Linked DNA regions of Saccharomyces cerevisiae S288C. The gene in region 2 interacts genetically with the main gene of each other region. Each region holds a gene or a part of one and is shown on either strand. Other genes may lie near its edges.

Region 1 (7,201 bases), on a different chromosome or scaffold from region 2:
GTCTCTAGTGATGTCAATGAACGGATGAACGACAGAAGAAGTGGATGGAAATAAAATGGTTATTTATCAGATATTTATATACAAAATTACGTGGTAATGCAACAGCTTTTTCCTCTCGCTTTGTTCTTTTTCCTCTGACATGCATGTTTCATTTTCGTTCCTTATGGCATCCATGTCATGTAAATTTCCCGAATAGGTAAATACATGCTTTTTTAACTTAAAAAATTATGGGCGTCCTATGCATGCACTTAACGGAAAAGGAAACTATCAATTAATTATGTAGTAGATGGTGTACCTATTATTGCATTAGTATTTGTTTCAAATGAAAACATGCTGCTTTAACTTTTCTAATTTATACCATAAACGGTATAGTAATGATGAAACTGAAAAATAAAAAAATAAACAGTCTGGTCTTATCGACCATGTTAACATCATCAAAATCCACCAAGTTTTCCGAGAAAATAGATGAGGGCCTGTTATTATTACTAACTGAGTTTGAATTCTTTTTGTAAAATCGTGGCAGTAGTTCTTGAAATGTCATTTTGAAGGACACTGAGTTTCGAAATATCAACATTATGAGTATGAATAAAAGTGTAAGGATAATGATCCTTTTGAGTTCCATGTGATGAGAAGTGGTATGCTTAGTATTGCTCATACTGGACAAATACGAAAGGAATCAGTAAATAATTAAGATTGTAGAGGGAGGGGTGTATGTGTATGCGGATACTTTTTTGATTTGGCAGAAGGAAAATTGGTATTGGCAGCTGTACAGTGACTCCCCTTATACAAATGATCTCAGTTTGTTTCGTTTTTCCTCATTCTCTGGCTTTAGACTTCAAATCGCGGTGTAAAAAAAATAGGACAAAACTATGTAGCGCATACTATGTCAGTCAGGTATTGAGAATATGTAAAGAAATGCCATACCGTGATTTGATTTTGTTTTCAACTGTAAGGAAGGGAGTTTATATGAGATTATATTATTAAACCTATTTTTGCATATATAGTACATCAGAACCTTCGGCGGAACTTAAAGAGACCAAAATAGTACCTCTTATGACGGTCAAACCTAGCTTTCTTGCGTTTTTAGAAATCAGTTCAGTGTTGTTTTCATCATCAGGATTAGACATATATTCTACTGTATCATCAAGTACCAAGTTCATCAGTTGATCATAGCCTTTTAGGACACCTATAACTAATTTACCACCCATTAATTTGACGCGAATTTTAGAATCTTTATACTTCGCTAAATCCAGAATAGCTTCTCTTTTAGGGCCTTCGAATTTTTTCCTTTGCTGTTGTGGTTTGTTCTCTGATTTCTTAGTTCAAAAAGGAAACATAGTTATTATAATGTTAGTATAAATAAGTCAAAAGGAAGGTTATTGCCACGGAAGAAAATAAGAAGTGAAACATACGGAGTGTTGCTGATGCATGTTTTTTTGGTTAATGTTCTGTGTAGTAAACAAAGTGCTGCTCTCAAATAACTTTCTTTTTTACTGTAGTAGTATACACGTACATGCGTATTCTTAATTGTCGTTTCCCAGTTGTCTGTTTTCAGCTACAGCTTTTTTCGCCTTTGTTCGAAAGAACAGTACTTTTTTCCGGCTCGCAGGGAAACGGCAGTTGAAGAAGACAAGCGACAAGAACATAGAGCAACGAATTCAAATAAAGAGATAGAAAAAAAAATTACATGGCAAAACTATGGTTAGAGTTGTCATAGAGAGTGAATTGGTCCGTACAGAAAAGGAATTACCAAATTCGCTTAAATTAAGGCAGTTCAAGGACCGATTGTACCATGTTACCGGAGTGGAACCAGAGGATATGGAAATAGTTGTGAAAAGACAGTACGACAACAAGGAGATATATAGTACTAAAAAGGGGGGTGCCTATTCAAATGAGGATGAAGATGCCAACTTCCTAAAAGGAGAGGAGGAGCTTATTGTGGTTGTTACAGACTCTAATGCCCAATCAATCTCTAACCAGCTGGCCACGCAAGCGGAAGGAATCCCCTCAATGGAAGTAATTAGCGAGGAGGATTATTTGCGAAGGGATCAATCCGTATTACGATGGAAGATGGCTCACGGCTATGGTAGGTTTAATGCTGCACAGCAGAGCCAGCGCGCTGCGCTGGCAAAGCAGGACGAAGCATATGCCCGAGAGCAATTAACGGCGGCTATCGGCCGCCACTGTCGTGTCACAGTAGACGGGAGCGCTCCACGTGAGGCCATTTTACGGTACGTAGGACCACTACCGTTGGACGTGATGGGCACATGGTGCGGTGTGGAATTCCCGGAAGCCGCAGGCAAAAACGATGGGCGCATAAATGGGGTAACACTGTTTGGGCCTGTGGCGCCGGGTCACGGATCGTTTGTGCGTCCGCGGGCTGTGGAAATTCTATCAAAAGACGAAGAATCCGCCGAGGTGGAAGACGTCCATGATGACGTGGAGAGCGATGATGAAATTTGAATTTGTGCAGAATTAGCGCGGTGGCGGTTTAGTTAGTGATCTCCATCCGATGTCAACATATTATTATTTGTAGTTGTATTTATGTGCACTCGGCGGTTTGTATGAGGAAAAGATGTTATGAAGAGAAAAACTGCCGAGTAATTGAAAGAGATGTCTGAAGTAGCGGAAACATGGGTGGATACCTGGATGGCAAAACTAGTCAACTATGACTACAAGCACTTTATAAGATTGGTGATAATTGTAGGTGGTTATTTACTCTTAAGAAATATCGCATCCAGGGAATTGGCGAAGAAGCAGTTGGCTGCCCAAGTGGAAAAGGACAAACGAGACAAAGAGGAAAAGAGATCAAAAGACCTGATCGACAAGCCAGATGATGCTGCAACAGCAGAAACAACTTCTTTCGGTTGGGGTAAGAAAACTAGAAGAAGAGTTAAAAGACAACAGGAGTTGTTTGAAAACGCTTTGGAAGAGGCTAAGAGAAGAAACCAAGGGTTGGACCCAGATAGTGATGCTGATATTGAGGAACTACTGGAAGAATAGGCTCTCTGTGTATGTATGGGTTCCTCTTTGTCATTGTGACATTGTTTTGTTTTTAGTTTTTCTATAGTTTTCTGATAAAATAGTCTAACCATTACCGATGTTGCTACTTGCATCATTCTCAACGTCTAATCAACTTGCGTTTGCGTCTCAAATTGAGTTTGTAGGTTACGTGTCGCCTTAATAGTCAGCAAATGCCGACGTTTGTGAGACGGATAACGACTGCGATGATTCCCATTCCGCATGAATGATGCAATTCACAATTCAAACACGATATCAAACGACTAAGCCGTGAATTAACGGCTAGAATGCAAAAGAAAATGGGTAAGAATTGATTTATGTAGATACGGCAAGACGATACTTTCCTTAAACAGCCGAGAAACGAAAAGGTTTAAAGAGATGTACTGTGACGTAGAAGAGAAAGGATTACGCAGCAATGGCTTGTCCAAATTTCGTAGTCTAGCCAATTGAAAATATAAATTATTTTCAATACTAATGGGCGGCTTTCGAACAAATGTCACATTGCAGAGGTGATCGTTCAAAGTAATTAGCAGTCATGAACGAGATCTTCTTTTCTCTTATGAAGAAAAAGGCTGATGGTCGACAAGAAAAATCTCAATACAATGGCTACCATTCCACAAAGAAGTGCCTCGCTAGGTGTAACTCAATGAACTGAAATTGCTTTCGTCAGTGGTTTCAACTCTTGTGCGGCCGCATGAAAAATGAAGAGAAATTTGAAAAAATCTCAAAGAAGAAAATAGTTTCCTCATCGCAGCAACCTATAGAAAACAACACGACAGAAAGATATTGTAACTTGATAGTACCGAGCATATATACCCCGAACAAACATGAGTTCTTATAGGGGCGGCAGTAGAGGTGGCGGGAGCAACTATATGAGCAATCTACCCTTCGGATTAGGTTATGGAGATGTAGGCAAAAATCATATTACGGAATTTCCATCCATCCCATTGCCCATCAATGGTCCTATAACAAATAAGGAAAGATCTTTAGCAGTAAAGTACATCAATTTTGGAAAGACTGTTAAAGATGGCCCATTTTATACCGGATCAATGAGCTTGATAATAGATCAACAGGAAAACAGCAAGAGCGGTAAACGCAAACCCAACATAATCCTAGACGAAGACGATACTAATGATGGCATTGAAAGATATTCCGATAAATATTTGAAAAAAAGGAAAATAGGTATTTCTATTGATGATCATCCGTATAATTTGAACCTCTTTCCCAATGAATTGTACAATGTAATGGGGATCAACAAGAAAAAATTATTGGCAATCTCCAAGTTTAATAATGCCGATGATGTTTTTACTGGTACAGGTTTACAAGATGAAAACATCGGACTATCCATGCTGGCAAAGTTAAAGGAGTTGGCAGAAGATGTGGATGATGCGTCGACGGGTGATGGGGCAGCAAAAGGAAGTAAAACAGGCGAAGGAGAAGATGATGATTTGGCGGATGATGATTTCGAAGAAGATGAAGACGAAGAAGATGATGATGATTATAATGCTGAAAAGTATTTCAACAATGGTGACGATGATGATTACGGTGATGAAGAGGATCCAAATGAAGAGGCCGCCTTTTAGTTGAAAATTTATACCGCTTTACCATATTTTTGGATATTCTTCAAAGCAGAATTTGTACAATTAGCATTTTTCTTTATGGTTTAGATCGGCGGTGAGGGCGCAACAGATTTATGTATACATATTGAAATAATAAAATTTAAAAAAGAAAAAATCTTGGTAAACATTAAAAATCTTAATTCTATTTAAATATTAGTATTACAATAACAGCATGTTTCTCTTGTCATTAGCTGAGCCTTGGAGGTGGTCTTTTTCTTGTAGGAGACATCGAATTCTTCCTCGAATTAAAATTGGAATTCGAAGTAGTCGGTAGAGGTGGTAGTTTTGGAGAATTCAGGCCTGATGGATGAGGATGTGAGTTAGGCGAAGAGGAATCTAGGCGTGAGGGTCTATCTCTTCTTACTAACGGCGTATTGCGCGAACTTGAATAATTGGACATATCATCTCTGGTCGGTATAGGAGGTAAGGGCGGTTGGTTATAGTTGTGGGAGACTCTATGGCTGGAAGAATAAAATGCGTCATTTTCGTCGTCATCGTCATCATCTTCGTCGTAAGACAACGAAGTTACACCAATAGCCTTTTGAAGTGCCTCAATATCTACCTTGTTAGATTCATTTTGGCAGTTGTTTGTTGAACTATCAGGATTCTTAAATATATTTATCTTCTCCTTTAATTTCCTTAAATTGGCAAAATGGAATTTTGTATTCGAAGTGTTTGATATAGCAGTATCATTAGTTTCTAATGTAGACGTTGTACCCATGGATGCTGAAAAAGTTGGAGGTAAAATTATTGGGTCATTACTATTTGCCAATACCGCTGTATCTGATTTAGATGACATGGAGAAAACATTGCCATTTCTGTAGGGCTGTCCCTCATCCTTATCCTCGTGACTTGTGCTAACACACTGGGGAGTAATCTGTCTCATCGTAGAACCATGAACATAGTCATACTCTGATTCTGTTGGCAATGGTGGTATCGGCCTCATAGCCATAGATGAATCCAACCTGTCCATTTCTTTGTTAAGATCGTCCCTGTTTAAACGAGGTACTTTGGGAGTGAAAGTCAACTCAATGAATATAGTGCCAGCAAATTCATCCCCACTTCTTTTCAGTTCGTACCAGGTACAATAACCCTCCTTCGGGTCTGCTCTAATAGCATTTAAAAGGTCTATTTCACATCTTCCAATTGGCAGCGGAGATTTTTTCCTTCTATCGCAGTAAACTTCGACGTACATTAAAGGCTTTATCTCTGGAGTAATATCAAATTTTTCTAAATAATGGAAAACAGGGTTTTGACCTGCTCGATGTAGAGTGTTGCTGGCTCTTGTCATATGAGCTATTCGCAACCTAAGCATTACATTTTGCTTGTCCAGTTTATTCAAATTAGGCAAGTCTCTAGCTTTGCTCACATATACGGAGAGGATTCCTTGGTTTCCATTCCATACTTCTTCGGACATTCGACAGTGACTCAACGAGTTAACCCAATTCCAGTTGTGAAACCTAAGGTCTCCGAATTCTCTCGTACTATTAACATACCTTTCTATGTTTTTATCTAAATCATATGAGGAACGCTAGGCCGTCATTCATGATCAGCAGAGGCGGCTTTTCATACAATTTTACAGGAAGCTAAGTACTTAGAGGACTTATGCTCTGTTTGGTCCTGCGGAAACTACCAGAATACACAACGCCAAGAAACTAACAGAGGACCATTATGGAACTGTTACCACAGGGACAAAGGAACAACACTCAGGTAACGTTCGAAGATCAGCAAAAGATCAACGAGTTTTCGAAGTTGATTATGCGTAAGGACGCCATTGCGCAGGAATTGAGTTTACAGAGGGAGGAGAAGGAGTACCTCGATGATGTGTCTCTAGAAATTGAATTGATTGACGAAGATGAGCCCGTGCAATACAAGGTGGGCGACCTCTTTATCTTCATGAAACAGAGCAAAGTTACCGCACAGCTCGAAAAAGACGCAGAACGTCTCGACAACAAAATAGAGACTTTAGAGGACAAGCAAAGAGACATTGATTCCCGTCTTGATGCTCTGAAGGCGATCCTGTATGCTAAATTTGGTGATAATATCAACCTTGAACGTTAGAACACTCATTAAAGTGTGGGCTGTGGGTGTCTCCACAAAATGAGTAATGAAAAATTTTTAATTTTTTCAGGAGGGAAATTAAAGAAAAGTAAAGAACATGATAATAAAAAGCAAGTTTAAGTTATTGTGTATGAGATAGAGTTTTTTTTGTATACCTTTGTAATCCGCATATATTCCTAAGTACCTTTTTTTTCAGACAGAAAAAAAGAGTTTCTTTACGGAAATTACTTCTTTCGTTTGATATTGTTTTTCTCTTTCGAGATTTAAGAACGTGGTTGTGTTTCGTGTTTCTGTGCAGATCATATTAGAAAGTTTTTTTCTCCATTTTGATAGACAAAACTTGTTGTTTCTACTGAACACAGCATATAAGCCAAGAAAATAGTTTTCCAAAAATGTCTCAAGTGCAAAGTCCTTTGACAGCAACGAACTCTGGTTTAGCTGTCAATAATAACACAATGAACTCACAAATGCCTAACCGTAGCAATGTTAGATTGGTCAAT
Region 2 (3,237 bases):
ACAGACAATCTTATTTTTCCAACGAAGAAGGTCATGTTCTGTGTGATGTTTTCGGTCAACCCATCACACAGGCAGATATATCGAATCCAACTAGGGCAAGAGACGAAAGACCTTTGGACACTATAAGAAGTTTCGAGTATGCTGTCTCCGGAGACCCGGTCTGGGCCCAACAGTTGGAGACTCCAACTTACGGGTTCCGCGTAAGACCTGATTTCCCTGTGTTTGGTGCTGCTGTGACTTACGATGCGAACGGTATGCCACAGCAAGTGGGTGGTGCTTCCAGTCAAATGTATGGTGAACAAGCAGTGTATCAGCCACAACAACACGTACAGACTGAGGAAAAGCAAAAGAAGAAGAAGAAGGGATTGTTTGGTAGAATGAAGAAGAAATAAGCGCTTGATACCCTTTAGAGACTTTATTTTTTTCTTTTTTATGATAATTTCTGTTTTCCGCTCTTATTTTGGATATTTCATATTTCATATTGTTATTATTACTATTATTATATATACATACACACACATATTTTCAATTTTTTTGTCATATGGAGACGAAAAAATGAAGAATGAAATTAAATTGGTTTATAAAATTATTTCTCCGCCTTTTATTTGCTATTTCTCTGTAGAGCTTCGTCTTCGAGGGTATCAATTTTACGCCTGATCTGCTCCATATTTTCGCGAATTTTAACCTCTTGTTCATCGAATTTTTTATCCAGCTCATTTAAAGCCTTTAGCCAAACTTTTCCTTGTTCTTGGATGCTGGTTATTTGTGAATCCAGCCCTTTCGTGGTTTCGTACACCTCGATCACCCTGTTGTTCATTTTATTGAGACTTTTCATCCTCTCCGCCAACAGTGGTAGTGAATCTTGATATTGCTTGAACATGGAATACATACTATTTATCTCCTTTACTTTGTTTTCGGGCATAACAAGCTTGCTCACGGTGTCATCTTTCAACCTCAAGTCCTGTTGTATTTTCTTGCCTAACAATGAGTTTTCAAATTCCTCGTTCAGTTCTACGAGTCTATCCCGGAACTTTTGCAGCTTTCCTTCCGCCTTATCATCGCCTTGTAAAAGTTGAATACTTCTATATAGTTCATTGACTTTACTATGAACCGATTTCCTATCTTCTTCTGCCTCCAAAGCTTCTGGTATGCCAACAAAACGTTCCATTAGGGATATTTTCTGATCTAACTTTTGCAATCTTTTGATATTACTCGTATCAAGAATTATGTTTGGCAATATGACGGTATCTTGGCCTTCATATGTTTCGAGAAGCTTCTTCCTCAAATTTGTCAATCTACTAGATGATTCCGTCGCCAATTTTGATTGAATTTCGCACAATTCCTTGATTTCAGTTTGCATTTCAGATGTTAAATTTTCTATTTTCAACTCCTCCAATTCTTCTCTTATTCTTTCTAATTTCTGTTGCCGACTTTCATCTTCTTCATCGTTACTCAACTTTCTCGCATCTGCACAGTCTGATTGGTTTTGTCTATGTATCTTGAAAAGCAACTGATCTCGAATAGCCCTTCTCAAACTCTCAACATCTCTCCCTGGTTCAACGATGAGCCCATCTTTTCTTGAAGATGCTTCTTCCTGCTCTTCTTGTTGTCCATCTTCCTTCACTTCATTTTCAAAAATTTCTTGAGATTCCTCATTGTCAATGCCAATCAAGCTATCATAATCCACATTGATGGCAGGATCACTTAAATCTATGACGTTCATCAACCAGTAGATTTCTTTATCTTTCTTAGCCTCATGACTTATCTGCTCTTCTTTTTTTTTTTGAAATGCATTGGCTCCCAAAAAAGTAATAGTACATCTATACTTGTAAACACTATTATTTGTGCTGGAAAGATGGCCCCTCAATTGGAGTCCTAACTTTGATTATACAAAAATGCCACTGAAACGCTCCTTAAAAGAATCAATCGAAAGATTATCTAGTTTTCAATCAAAATATAATATTTTCACTAGTATCAATCCATCTCCTTATTCAATCACAAATAAAAAAGGTACAAAAGAAACATTGACAGGTTGCGTTGCCAGTATCAAGGATAATATAGTTACAAAAGATTTTCCAACCACATGTGCCTCACATATACTTGAGAATTTCAAGTCTCCCTTCGATGCAACAGTAGTGAAACTATTAAAACAGGCAGGAGTGCATATCTTAGGCAAGACAAATTTAGATGAATTTGGAATGGGTTCTGGGGGAGTACATTCAATAAGAGGGCCCGTAATTAACCCTTTATATCCTCATGAGGACAAGAAGATCATGGGAGGTTCATCGTCTGGAGCCGCTGCAAGCGTTGCTTGCGATCTAGTCGATTTTGCCTTGGGAACAGATACTGGTGGCTCCGTTAGGCTCCCCGCATGCTATGGATCTGTTTTAGGATTCAAGCCGTCCTATGGACGGTTGTCAAGATTTGGCGTAATAGCGTATTCTCAATCTTTAGACACTGTTGGCATACTTAGCAAAAAGATAAACGTCTTGCGAAAAGTATTTCATACGCTCGATAAATATGACATGAAAGATCCCACTTCCTTAAGTGTGGAATTGCGTGAATTGATAGAAGGGAATAAAAAGGTTAGGAGACCTTTAAAGGTAGGAATTGTAAAGGAATTTAGCCATGAAAGTATGCCCATTGGGTTCCACAGATTATATTTATCCTTACTAGAAAAGCTGATAAATTTAGGGCTTGAAATATACCCTGTATCCATTCCATCTGTAAAAAACTGTTTACCGATTTATTATACGCTATCACCCGCTGAAGCGGCTTCCAATTTATCAAGGTATGATGGTATCAGATATGGATACAGAGATTCAGAACTCGATATAAAAGACGGTATTTTATTCGCACCTACTAGGTCCAAATTCGGAACAGAAGTTAAGAATAGAATCATTCTAGGTAATTATAATCTTTGTTCAGATGCATTTAAGAACAATTTTATTAAGGCAGAAAAGCTACGAGTTAATTTGATCGATGAATTTGACGGGATCTTCAGATTTCCAAATGTTTTAACTAATTCTAAGGGAAATCCAGACGGCCTAGATCTACTGATAGTTCCCACATCGTCCAAGCTTCCTGGATCCATAAGGGACTTCGAAGAAGAGGAAGCCAAATCTCCGGCTAACTCGTATATAAACGATGTCTTTACTGTCCCAATGTCATTGGCTGGACTACCAAGTTTATCAATGCCTTTAAAAGAGAAGACCCCGATTGGCTTACAGGTAGTAG
Region 3 (6,230 bases), on a different chromosome or scaffold from region 2:
TTTCGTTTTTCAAAAATTTTGTTAGCTTCCGATTTTCATTTTAGGAAAATATGTTTCTAGATTTTTTTTTTTCAAATTTTTCAATTTTTTTATTATATCTGTTTCGAAATTCTGTTTTCTCATGAGAGAAAATAATAAAATGATAGATTAGAAAGATGATCCTGGGCAAAAGAGAAAGTAATTCGATGGGATCAAAGAAAAAATAAGGAAAAAAAAGTTTTCACTAATACACTGCCGAATACGGAAAGTAGTTTCGCTCAAATCTTGAATGATTTATTGTGTCATCCATTGACTTCCAGCCAAGATGATGACCGTAAGACTGATTATGGACGTGAGGGGGAGGTAATTGTGGAGCGGCAGGTAAAAGTGAGTGTTGTTTTTGTTGTTGCTGTTGTTGTTGACTACTGAAATTGTAGAAGTCGTAATCAAACTGAGTTTCCGAAATTGGTGAAGAATATATATTGGGGAATTGTTGATAGTAATTCAATCTTGGCTGATTATAGTTGTAATAGTTATAATAACCATTCATACTAGAAAATTCAGACCTTGAGTTACTCTGATAAGATGGTGATGAAAACATGTTATGCGGCATCAGCATGGGGGTTTCATAATTGGAAACTGGAGATAATAGGTTGTTTGTGGAAGTAGGCTTCAAGTTGAAATTTACGTTTCTCGTATCACCAACGTTGACAATTGGAGATAATAACGTAGGAACCGCTACAGCAGGTTTGAGTTGATTTTGCTTGAAAATCTCAAAATTCTTGACGAACTCAAAATAAAGAAAAGCACTATCATACAATTCCCAGTTAAATATTCTCAACCATTGTCTCTCGAAATCATTGATAACATTTATCAGTATTCCTGTTGCCTGTGACCATGAGTTATTGGTGAAAGTTTTGTCATCGTTGAACTTGTTTGCTAATATGAACGCAATCATAGTATTTTGATAAATGATATTGATCGAATTGCCACCAATTGAATGTATCCCATTAGATAATTTATTGATATACTTGAAAAGATAATCTATAGCCAAAAAAATAGTAGCTGAAGGCAATCTCGTGGCATTCAACACAGAAGATATGCCCTTGAAAAAAAGATCAGTGGTCTGGTCATCAGTACTATAGTTCGCGTTGAAGGCAACAAAGGCATTTTCCATGATAAATTTTGACATTATAGAAATATCGTAGTCCAAGTTCTCACTGACGCCCCCATTTACTTGGTTAGATTGTTGTGGTTGTTGTTGTCCATCCCGAATCATTTGAACAGGAGGAGGAATAACGTTGCTGTTATTGTTACTAGTGTACATTAGGCCCGGAGGGGGAAGGATAGGTGGTTGCTGGTGCTGTTGAAGTGGTGCAGGAGGAGCATAGTAAGTAGAACTTGGCTGATTGAAGTAACCTAAAGAAGCCATGGATGGCAACTGAGTATGAACTGATTGCGAGGGAACATGACCTAAATATTTAGGCAGTTGCCTAGCAACATTAACAGCAGAAGTAGCCGAACCTTTCGGAAAAGGCAAACTAATTGGATAACCACTAGAATTACCCATCGTTTCAGGATAATACTTGAAAGTATTAGCCATTTCTATATGAAGGGGGGTTTGTTGGGGGGAGGGGGGCTGAAGACGAATTAACTCAATAACTGTCTTAATAATGTTAAAGAAAAAAAAAATTCCTTGTAGTGTATAAGCTAAACGCTAATAAAGCTGGTTTAAATGTGTGAAACGAAGTCTCTTCGAATACTGTAAAATAACCCCACTGAATATACACAAACACACAGAAAAAGGATTAAAGTTAATAAAAAAAAACGACTCGAAGACTTAAAGGCAAACCTTCAAGTAATGCAGTCTCTGTAAAAACAACAGCAAACACAAATTTGCTAAATTTTGCTTAAAAGAGTCTCCTGAGAAACGTTTTCTTTTAATTTGGGTCAATAAAGGAAATTAACCCAGTAAAAGGCTTTAGAGAAAAAAAAAAGGAAGAAAAAACGAGAACGAGAATCTAGTATATGATCCTTGTGCGTTTTTCTTAAAAGATCAATGATTTGTGGTGCTTAGTTTCTTTTAGAATCTCTTAGAAAGTAGGTAATGTGTCTAATGACTAAAAGCAATTATTCACTTTGAACCTTTTCTCGTGCCAAATAAATTCAAAAAAAAGAAATTAAAGAAAAATTTTTCCCGTAACCCGGAATTAATCAACATAAATGCGTTTAATGCTGGCGGAAAGAAGTTATATTCGATAGTTTACGTAGGATATGTATGTTATTTCCTGGCAGTGGCCAGTAGACTTTGATGAGTAAGAAGGGAGGAGCGCATCTTCCTTCTTGGAACCGCTGTAGTCGGAGCGGAGGGGGTCGAGGGCCCCTGCTCATTGAATGTGGTATCTTGCATACTTACGTCCACTTCACTTGCAATGGCGTCTTGATCTTGGTGTAGTTCTGGTTCTAGCTCCGGTTGTGGTTCAATCATAGGGCTGGGACTAAGGTCGGGACTCGTCCACTTTACTTTTTTTTGGGAAAAATTTTGCCGTTGTAGGGTCTCAGCGGGAACAGCCAAGTCAGCTGCCGTCGTGTTTATTATATTTATATTTGTGTTTGTAAAATTGCTATCGGGATTGGCGATAAAAGTTCTGGCAAAAGATTCAAACTCCTCGTCGATATGAACCAGGTCTTGAATTATGGATTCAATGTTAGGTGTCCTATTCATCAGCCACTTTGATAGAAATTTAAATCGGGAGTTCAAACCCGGATCTGACATTAATTTTTCTGTCATTATGGAGGAATTAACCAAGATTTCGTTTCTTTGTAATTCTGATATTTGATTTAAACACGACTCCAAGTACACCAGGTCGTAAGTTTCATCCCAGTCCTCCATCTCTCTTAACTTGTTCAAGTCAATGGAATGTACCTGATGAATGACGGAACTCAGAGTGTCGGTTTCATCAAATTTCATTTCTAACTCGTGTATTTTGTTATAAAGCTGACCACTGATCATTCGGCAATTACTAATCACCGGCTGCATCTCGGCGGCTGTACTTTCCTCCCGTTCAAATAATAGTATCAAATTATCCACTTCTAGCTTGACCATTTGCAAAAACCGCCTTTTACAAAGTATTAATGATTTCAAGGTCTTGGCTACTTGATACGTTTCCACTCCTGCATACGTTTGCTGAACACGATTGACGCACTCGTTAATGGCTAACTGGATCTTTTCTTTGTTTAGTTTGTATTTCGTTAGCTTCAAAGAAATCATCTTCTCTTCACGTTCGCGTAACTCTTCGATTTGTCGCTTTTGTTCCGTAATCATTTTCAAATAAGATCCAACGTGTCTACTCAAAGACTGCTGATTTCTGATTATTTTGGTCTTTATTTCTTTAGCACGATTTGCATATTTCAAAGTATTCAATGTCTCATCATAATGTGAACTGCTGGGCGATATGCAAACAATCATGACTGTTTTGCAATTGCCACCCAGTGAAAATTTCAACAGCCTAGTTAACTTGGAATCCCTGTATGGAATATGACAGCTTCTGCTGCCATCATTCAAGCACAACGCGTTAATGCAATTGCCCAGTGCTAGTAGGGATCTATTTATATTCGCACCTTCGTGTAATCTTATACCACGGTTTCTTGTTGCGGCGGCTCTTTCGCTCCCAGCTAGATCGATTATTGAAAGTGTAGCAAATGTATGTTGCGAGGTCAAGTCTACAAGCTTATTTGTCTGCATGATGTGTATTTGCAGCACTGCATGAGATCGTGAAGATACTTCGTTTGCTTCCGTCGGTGACGTAGTCCTGTTTATGTTTCCCTGGACAACTAAGTCCATCACATCTTCTACCGTATTTGGGTGGTGATACGACAAATTCGCCACTTTGATGTGGTTCTGCGTATCTTCTCTAATGACCAATCTTTTAGATGGTGTCTCTGGTTTCAAAAGGTCTCTGATTCTTTCATTGTATATTTCCAAGTAAGACAGTGAAATCTCGAAGTCTTTTTCGTCCTTCAGGTCTGTAATTTTATTGAATAGTTCCTCCATGGCTAGAAATATGATCCCCGGCTGTGAAGGTGTGCCACTCACAGTATATGTCTTGCCACAACCAGTAGCACCGTAAGCAAATACGGTACTGTTGAATCCATCTAAAACAGAATCTAGGAGCGGGCTGGTGGTCTCTTTGTATACACGGGCTTGGGAAGAGGTTTCATCAAACAATTTATCAAATACAAACTTGATTTCGCCACCGTGCCTTCGACGTTGCGAAGAAAATTTGTTCGTAGCATTGCTGTTATTGATAGAGGACGCAGTGGCCTTAGTGGCCCTTGCACGCATCGAGTTCAGGACCTGATCACTCACTTTGTTCAATGGGTTTCTATCAGCTGGGTCGAATATGAGCATTCTATCATCCACACAATCCACAATTTTACGTATACCCTCCGGTCTAATTACTTTTCTCCTCAGCAAGCTATTTCTTTTGCTCCGCGTAGAACCTTCTTCAGCGTCTATGTCTATATCGGAGTCGGAGTTATTACTCATGGGTAATATTAACGACGAATCCCCCAAACCGGGAAAGTTAGCTTCTGCACCACTAGCTTCATTGACCAATCTTGTTTTTTCCATTGACGTAAAGGGCCTTACTCTTATAGCTACGACTATGGAGGATTGTCTTGTTTCAGGCACGTTCATGTTAGTGTCAATAGTATACAGCTGGAAAGAAAACTCAAGTAGTTAAAGAATGCAATGAAATGATAATCAGATAAACGATGCAATCAGGGAATATGAAAATTTTAATATAAAAAAAAAAAAAGAAAAATCAACAGCTTCGAAACACTGATCTGGACTTTTTTAACCTGCAGATATTTGTTACACGCAGATTATAAATTTTGTCTCTATAGGAACAGCTGAACACTATACTGGATACCGATGTTCTACCGACCAGACGTGAATGTATCTGGTCCTTTTGTATCCAAGGATAAGACAAACCAAACCCATACTAAAGTCATCAAACAAGGCATAATACAGGTAAAATAAACAAAACAAAAACTAAAAACACGGCTAGCTAAGGGAAAAAGTAGTAATGACCTAGGGTGAATAGCTTTTTTCAATTAGGTTTTTCCTTTTTTGTACTATATTAAATAGGGCTAAACTGTTTTAAGCATAGGGCAAAGAACTTATAAATTAGGTTTGAAAAAGGGCCATGAAGCCTTGTAGTAAAAAGAGACCAATTAGAAGAGTCATGGAAGATTCGTAAAACATAGAAACAGTAACAATTATAACAAAAAAAACACAACTGCAAGAAACTTCAGCATCGTCATGTCATTTAGATTCAACGAAGCTGTGTTTGGTGATAACTCTTTCAATGAACGAATACGGGAAAAGTTATCTACGGCTTTGAACTCACCGTCTAAAAAGAAATTAGATATCTTGAAAAGCGGAATTAAGGTACAGAAGGTGGATTTTCCTACAATACCACAGCTAGAAATTCTGGACCTAGACATTATCACGCAGCCCAAGTCTCTGGCCAAGGGGATTTGCAAGATTTCATGTAAGGATGCTATGTTGCGGATACAGACAGTCATAGAGTCGAATCTTTTATTGATTAACGAACAGGATACACCCAGCTTTACCATGCCCCAGCTCATCAATAATGGATCGTTCACAATTCCTATAACTATGACGTTCAGTTCCATCGAGCTAGAAGCCATCACGAATATTTTTGTAAAGAACCCTGGAATTGGGATATCCTTTAATGACGTTGATTTGGATTTTAAGTTTGATTGTTCTGTAAAAATTCTCCAAAGCACCATTGAGAGAAGGCTAAAAGAGTCCATGCATGTAGTGTTCAAGGATGTTCTTCCTTCTTTGATCTTCAACACGTCACAGAACTGGTTCACCAATCGCGGCGAGAGCACCAGTACCATCCCTGGTAAAAGAGAGCATCATCATCAACAAACTACAATGTCTAGGAATGTAATCTTGGACGGATCAGATTTTCAAGAGCTTTCTCCAATAAACATGCTACGTCTTTCAAGCATTGTGTCGTCGAGGTCAACACTGTCACTACATTCCACTGTGATGAATTCTCTTTCCGCTATACCTGGTTGCTTGGAAAGACAAAACTTGTACAGATTTATATCAAGGATGCCCTCTTTAAACAATTACTACTCTTCGCAATCATTTCCACAACCAAAGTCATCAACCGTATCATCAAAACAATTGGTAAAGCCATTCTACTGTT
Region 4 (5,092 bases), 830 kb from region 2:
ATGAAGAGAATGGGTAAACTCCACAGGATTTTCAATTCACCAGACATATACGTGGTGATTGCAACACCAACAACGAATAGCGCGGCAGGAATATAGATCCCGTGGACAGGTTCGTCTAGAATGTTAGTTCCTTCTATGTCTTCTTTTGACATTTTCTTCACGCGGTTCTTGGAGTGCTTCCTTTTTTGTGATAAGTTTGGGTGGCAACGAGATGAGCTCAAAACTCTTTGTTTTTTATGGGTATTTTTGTCTTAGAATATTTTCAAATTTTTCAATATTCCGCGGAACATAGGGAAAAAAATAAATTTAATAAGCTATTGTTCTAACTGTACACCTAAAGGTAAGTGAAAAATAATTCGATAATTAGAGGTATCTTTATTTGGATAGAATATGCATATATATATATAAGCGTATATATATATATATATATATATGTATATACATATGGACATTAAGTAAATATAAATCTATAAGTGGGTATCGGGATCAGAGCCACTTTCTTAGAACTCCTCAGCGTAAGAATCGGCACCCACTTCAATATAATCTCTTTCTAAGGCAGCTAAATCTTCTCTAGCTTCGGTGAACTCACCTTCTTCCATACCTTCACCGACATACCAATGGACGAAAGCACGTTTGGCATACATCAGGTCGAATTTCTGATCGATTCTCTTCCAAGCGTCCGCGATGGCAGTGGTGTTGGATAGCATGCAGACAGCTCTATCCACATTGGCTAATTCGGAACTTGGTATCACACTTGGTGGCTCATAACAAATACCAATCTTAAATCCTGTTGGACACCAATCCACCATTTGTACTGTTTTTTTATTCTTCACCTGTTCGACGGCTCTTTGGACATCTCTGGTCACCACGTCACCTCTGTATAACAAACAGTTAGCCATGTACTTCCCCTTTGTTGGGTCACACTTAACCATTTGATTGCCCGGTTCGAAACAAGCGTTTGTGATTTCTGACACGGAGTTGGATTCATGGGTGGCCCTCTTCTTGGACAAGATGGGTGCGTAGGAAACCAAAGGGAAATGAATTCTTGGATATGGTACCAAGTTGGTCTGAAATTCGTTCAAATCCACGTTTAATGAACCATCGAACCTCAAAGAGGCTGTAACAGATGATATCACTTGGGCAATCAACCCGTTCAAGTTGCTGAAGCTTGGTCTAGAAATTCCCAAGTTCCTCTTGCATATATCGTAAATGGCTTCGTTATCGACCATAAACGTACAGTCTGCGTGTTCCAGGGTGGTATGCGTGGTTAAAACCGTGTTGTAAGGTTCCACGACGGAAGTAGACAATTGAGGCGCAGGATAAACGGCGAATTCCAATTTGGATTTCTTCCCGTATTCATACGATAAGTTTTCTAATAACAGGGAACCTAAACCGGAACCAGTTCCACCACCGAGGGAGTGGGTGAACAAGAACCCTTGTAAACCGTCACATTGGTCGGCCATCTTTCTAATTCTTTCTTCAACTTCATCCACTATTTCTCTACCCACTGTATAATGGCCTCTTGCGTAGTTATTGGCGGCATCTTCCTTACCGTTAATCAATTGTTCTGGATGGAAAAGCTCCTTGAAACGTCCTGTACGTACTTCATCGATAACATTGGGCTCTAAATCCACGTAGATTGCTCTTGGGACGAATTTTCCGTACCCCGTTTCATGGAAGAATGTAGAAAATCCTTCTTCACCTCCCTTAGGTTTTGACAAGCCATCCTCCAAATGGCCGTCTTCCTTGATGCCATGCTCTAGGGAGTACAATTCCCAGCATGCATTACCTATTTGACAACCTGCTTGACCAACTGTTGTAAAAAAGAAAAATAACAAAAGTTCCAGCAATCCTCCGAAGAAGAAGACACAAAAATCACTCCCCATGTAATGAGGTCAATTATGAGCTTTTTCGTCCGAGTATGCCCAGAAAAAATGGAGAAAAAGAAACTGTTAGTAAACTGTGCTGGTACAAGTCAAATTATTTGCCGTAAATCAACCAGATGGTGACCAATTGGGAATGAATCAAACCAGATCAGATCAAACTTCTTTCCCTGTCCCACAGGTGCCATTGGTTGCGAATATTGAACAAAAAAAGGAACGCATACATACCATTAATACTAATGACCTCTCTCATTGTCTCAAGTCGCTTGCTTAGTCGATTAATGTACTTTATGAGATACCTGATCTGTGTTTATATTTCTTTTAGATGTGCAATTTGTAAAACGTTTCGTGGTTTCCAGAGGCTCGAGAAATGATATGTCGGGTAACGTCTGGAACTAAAAAAGAAAGGACGATATGCTCTGCTCTGGCACCAGCCAACAGGATGGCAGAGAGATGTGAGGAAATAATGAAATTAAAAGAAATTATCGAATAAATATGTAACCTGACAGTATTTATAGATTATGTAAGGGGTTTGATAATAAGTTTATAAAAATGTTTTTGTATTATTTGTTCTAGTTTACAAGTTTTAGTGCATCTTTGAGGCTTTTATGCTTCATGTTGAAGTTGAGATGGGCTGGAAGATTCAATGTCATTATTCTTGTTTCTGAAGTTTAGCGTAGCAGGATCGATTTCATCGTGGTATAGCTCGTTAATTTCTTCTAGAGTCTTTCTCTTAGTTTCTGGGATCAACAAGGTTGTGAAGATACCCAACAACATGAATAAGGCGAAAATTTCCATGACGTGAGGTAACCAACAGTTGGTTGGCTTACCGTCTCTAGCACAGTTATGGTCGATTAGAGTACCCAAAGCGGTTTGTGCAATAATGGCACCGACCTTACCAGATGCAGCAGAAATACCATGAGCAGTAGATCTGTAACGAGTTGGGAAACACTCACCAGGAACAATAAAGGTGGTTGTGTTTGGACCGAAGTTTTGGAAGAATTGACAAATGACGTAAAGAGCCAACAGACCATGGTCACCAAGTTTATGGTATGCGAAACCGATGACACAGAACAAAGCGGTCAAGATGATGAAACCGGCTAATTGAATTGGTTTTCTACCGATTATATCGACAGTGAAGACGGATACCCAGTAACCAGGTAATGAACCAGCACAAATCAAAATCAGATTACCGACAGCAGTATCATACAGTTTCTTGTAAACGTTTTTGGAACCGGCATAACCGATGGTTTGCAGAATAACAGCACTGTTTAAACTCAACCCGTAGAAAGCAACATCTAAGGTAAACCATGAACCAGCAGTACCTAGCAAAATCTTACCGTACTTCCATTGACCAAAATGTCTGCAGAAATCTTTGAACGAAGCCTTTGGAGGATGATTGTCAAGAGATTCGACGGCAGTAGAAGCTCTTTCCAAACCGTTAATTGCCATGTCTTCATCACTGGTGTCGTGAATTTTCTTTTCGCCATCTTGTTCTTGTGCGGCAGCAGCAAGTTCCAACTTAGCGTTAACATCCAATTGATATCTAGGAGATTCTGGAATAGTTAATCTGAAATACAAACATGCCAACCCTAGAACGGTACCCAACCCAATAAGGATTCTCCACATTTGGTCACAAGCCTTTTGACATCTAGCATCACATTCAGCACCAGAGTTTGCGTATTCTAGTTCGCCCTTGTAAGCAGCAACCAAGATAAGAGCGATGATACCACCGGAGATTTGACCCCAAGCTTGGTTAGCAAAGACAGCACCCATGATGGCACCTCTCCATTTGGTAGTGGCAAATTCAGAAGTAATAATAGAAGATAGTGGGTAGTCACCACCGATACCAATACCCATGACAATACGGTAGAATGTTAAAACAGCAACGAAGTTAATAGCAGGAGAATGAGCAACAGTGGTTTGCAGAATGGTACAGACAATCATGATAATAAGTTCCATACCATAAATTCTCTTACGACCAACAATATCAGCTAAAGTACCAAAACCAAATTGACCAATAACAGTACCAACAGAAGTGGAAACCTTCAACAAGGTTTGACTTGGACCTGGCATACTACCGTGCCAGTAAACGTAGGACATCATAGTGATACCCAAATTAATGGCAAAAATATCATAAGAATCTGTCAAGAAACCAACACCAGCAATGGAGATGGTCTTAACTTGTTGCCAACCGAAACCTTCGTCATCGATGGACTCCAAAGCCAATCTTCTTCTTTCCAGAGGATCTTCAATATGAGCAAAATCATTCAAATGGTTGTGGAAGGCCATGTTACCACCTTCGGTAAGGTGTTCTTTATGAAGACTTCTTTCAGCAACATGAATAGTATCTTTATTGACGGAACTCATTTGGATTGTATTCGTGGAGTTTTGTTTGTTGTGTGCCCTGGTGATCTACGAGATGAGGAAAGATAAAATTTAGAAGTGAACTTAGAACTTTACTTTATACAAGAGATGAGGATGAGCTTATATATATACGTATACGAGCCACAATAGTAAGTGGATCTAAGTTGGCATTACCGGTGTGCAATGTGGTTGCATCATGCTGCCAAAAAGGAATAATAATTAGCTCATAGATGAGGTCGGTTAATTAATGAGTAATACGCACGTTTTTAATCTAGCTAATAAGCAGGCAAAACGGGAGAAGAGGGATAAGGAAAGCCTTTCACACGACATTTGGTGCATAACTGCACCGATCTCACTGATTTCGATGGACTGCGGCGAACCATAATCAATTGCCGTCGCTAATTTCCGCCCCACGTGCTGGAAATAACACGTCCACGTGGAACTATTAAATTGGCATCGGGCGGTGCGGCAGTGAGAGGAACGGGTGTTTTTCAGCCGGGCAACATTTTCTTCATAGCCGCTAGATGAGTTGAAAGGGCCCTTACGAGCAAATGCTGCACGTATAGGGCGCCTATAACAGCACCAACGTGCGTAATACTGATTGCTGTCATTTCTTGGCATGTTTTCTTGGTCAAGGTCTGTGATCTCCCCTTCCGGTTGTGTCTTTTCATAATAATATGGTTTTTTTATTCATAATTTGGTAATAACGGTTGATAAACGAGCGGCTGATAAATTAGTTTCTTTTTTTTTTTAATTTTTTTTTTTTTTGATCTCATTTCTTTTTTTATTGAATCTTTTTTTTTTTGTAAGAAAATTAAGGTTTATTAGGCAGAGTATACCGA

What was found.
Region 1: mutations in JNM1 (region 2) and GIM3 together harm fitness more than expected from each alone (negative genetic interaction), as found in Saccharomyces cerevisiae (7 studies listed by BioGRID, with this or other methods).
Region 3: mutations in JNM1 (region 2) and KIP3 together harm fitness more than expected from each alone (negative genetic interaction), as found in Saccharomyces cerevisiae (6 studies listed by BioGRID, with this or other methods).
Region 4: mutations in JNM1 (region 2) and TUB3 together harm fitness more than expected from each alone (negative genetic interaction), as found in Saccharomyces cerevisiae (5 studies listed by BioGRID, with this or other methods).

The regions. Positions count from the first base shown.
Region 1 is NC_001146.8:345,169-352,369, reverse strand, and holds GIM3 (tubulin-binding prefolding complex subunit GIM3), read left to right. Parts: upstream 1-6,311; coding exon 6,312-6,701; downstream 6,702-7,201. Other genes in the region: YNL146W (uncharacterized protein), read right to left, coding at 353-655; YNL146C-A (uncharacterized protein), read left to right, coding at 790-984; Sm-like protein LSM7, read right to left, coding at 987-1,316, 1,413-1,430; ALF1 (Alf1p), read left to right, coding at 1,699-2,463; PGA2 (Pga2p), read left to right, coding at 2,614-3,003; RPC31 (DNA-directed RNA polymerase III subunit C31), read left to right, coding at 3,849-4,604; INN1 (Inn1p), read right to left, coding at 4,828-6,057; serine/threonine protein kinase YCK2, read left to right, coding at 7,094-7,201. UniProt on the Saccharomyces cerevisiae protein: Binds specifically to cytosolic chaperonin (c-CPN) and transfers target proteins to it. Binds to nascent polypeptide chain and promotes folding in an environment in which there are many competing pathways for nonnative proteins.
Region 2 is NC_001145.3:855,452-858,688, reverse strand, and holds JNM1 (Jnm1p), read right to left. Parts: upstream 1,724-3,237; coding exon 602-1,723; downstream 1-601. Other genes in the region: GSR1 (Gsr1p), read left to right, coding at 1-392; glutamyl-tRNA(Gln) amidotransferase subunit HER2, read left to right, coding at 1,896-3,237. UniProt on the Saccharomyces cerevisiae protein: Component of the dynactin complex which assists cytoplasmic dynein by increasing its processivity and by regulation of its cargo binding.
Region 3 is NC_001139.9:83,333-89,562, reverse strand, and holds KIP3 (tubulin-dependent ATPase KIP3), read right to left. Parts: upstream 4,679-6,230; coding exon 2,261-4,678; downstream 1-2,260. Other genes in the region: CLG1 (Clg1p), read right to left, coding at 224-1,582; ERMES complex subunit MDM34, read left to right, coding at 5,306-6,230.
Region 4 is NC_001145.3:21,548-26,639, forward strand, and holds TUB3 (alpha-tubulin TUB3), read right to left. Parts: upstream 2,137-5,092; coding exon 2,112-2,136; exon of another isoform or gene 2,017-2,111; intron 1,814-2,016; coding exon 501-1,813; downstream 1-500. Other genes in the region: PGA3 (cytochrome-b5 reductase), read right to left, coding at 1-152; phosphate transporter PHO84, read right to left, coding at 2,490-4,253; YML122C (uncharacterized protein), read right to left, coding at 4,491-4,871. UniProt on the Saccharomyces cerevisiae protein: Tubulin is the major constituent of microtubules, a cylinder consisting of laterally associated linear protofilaments composed of alpha- and beta-tubulin heterodimers.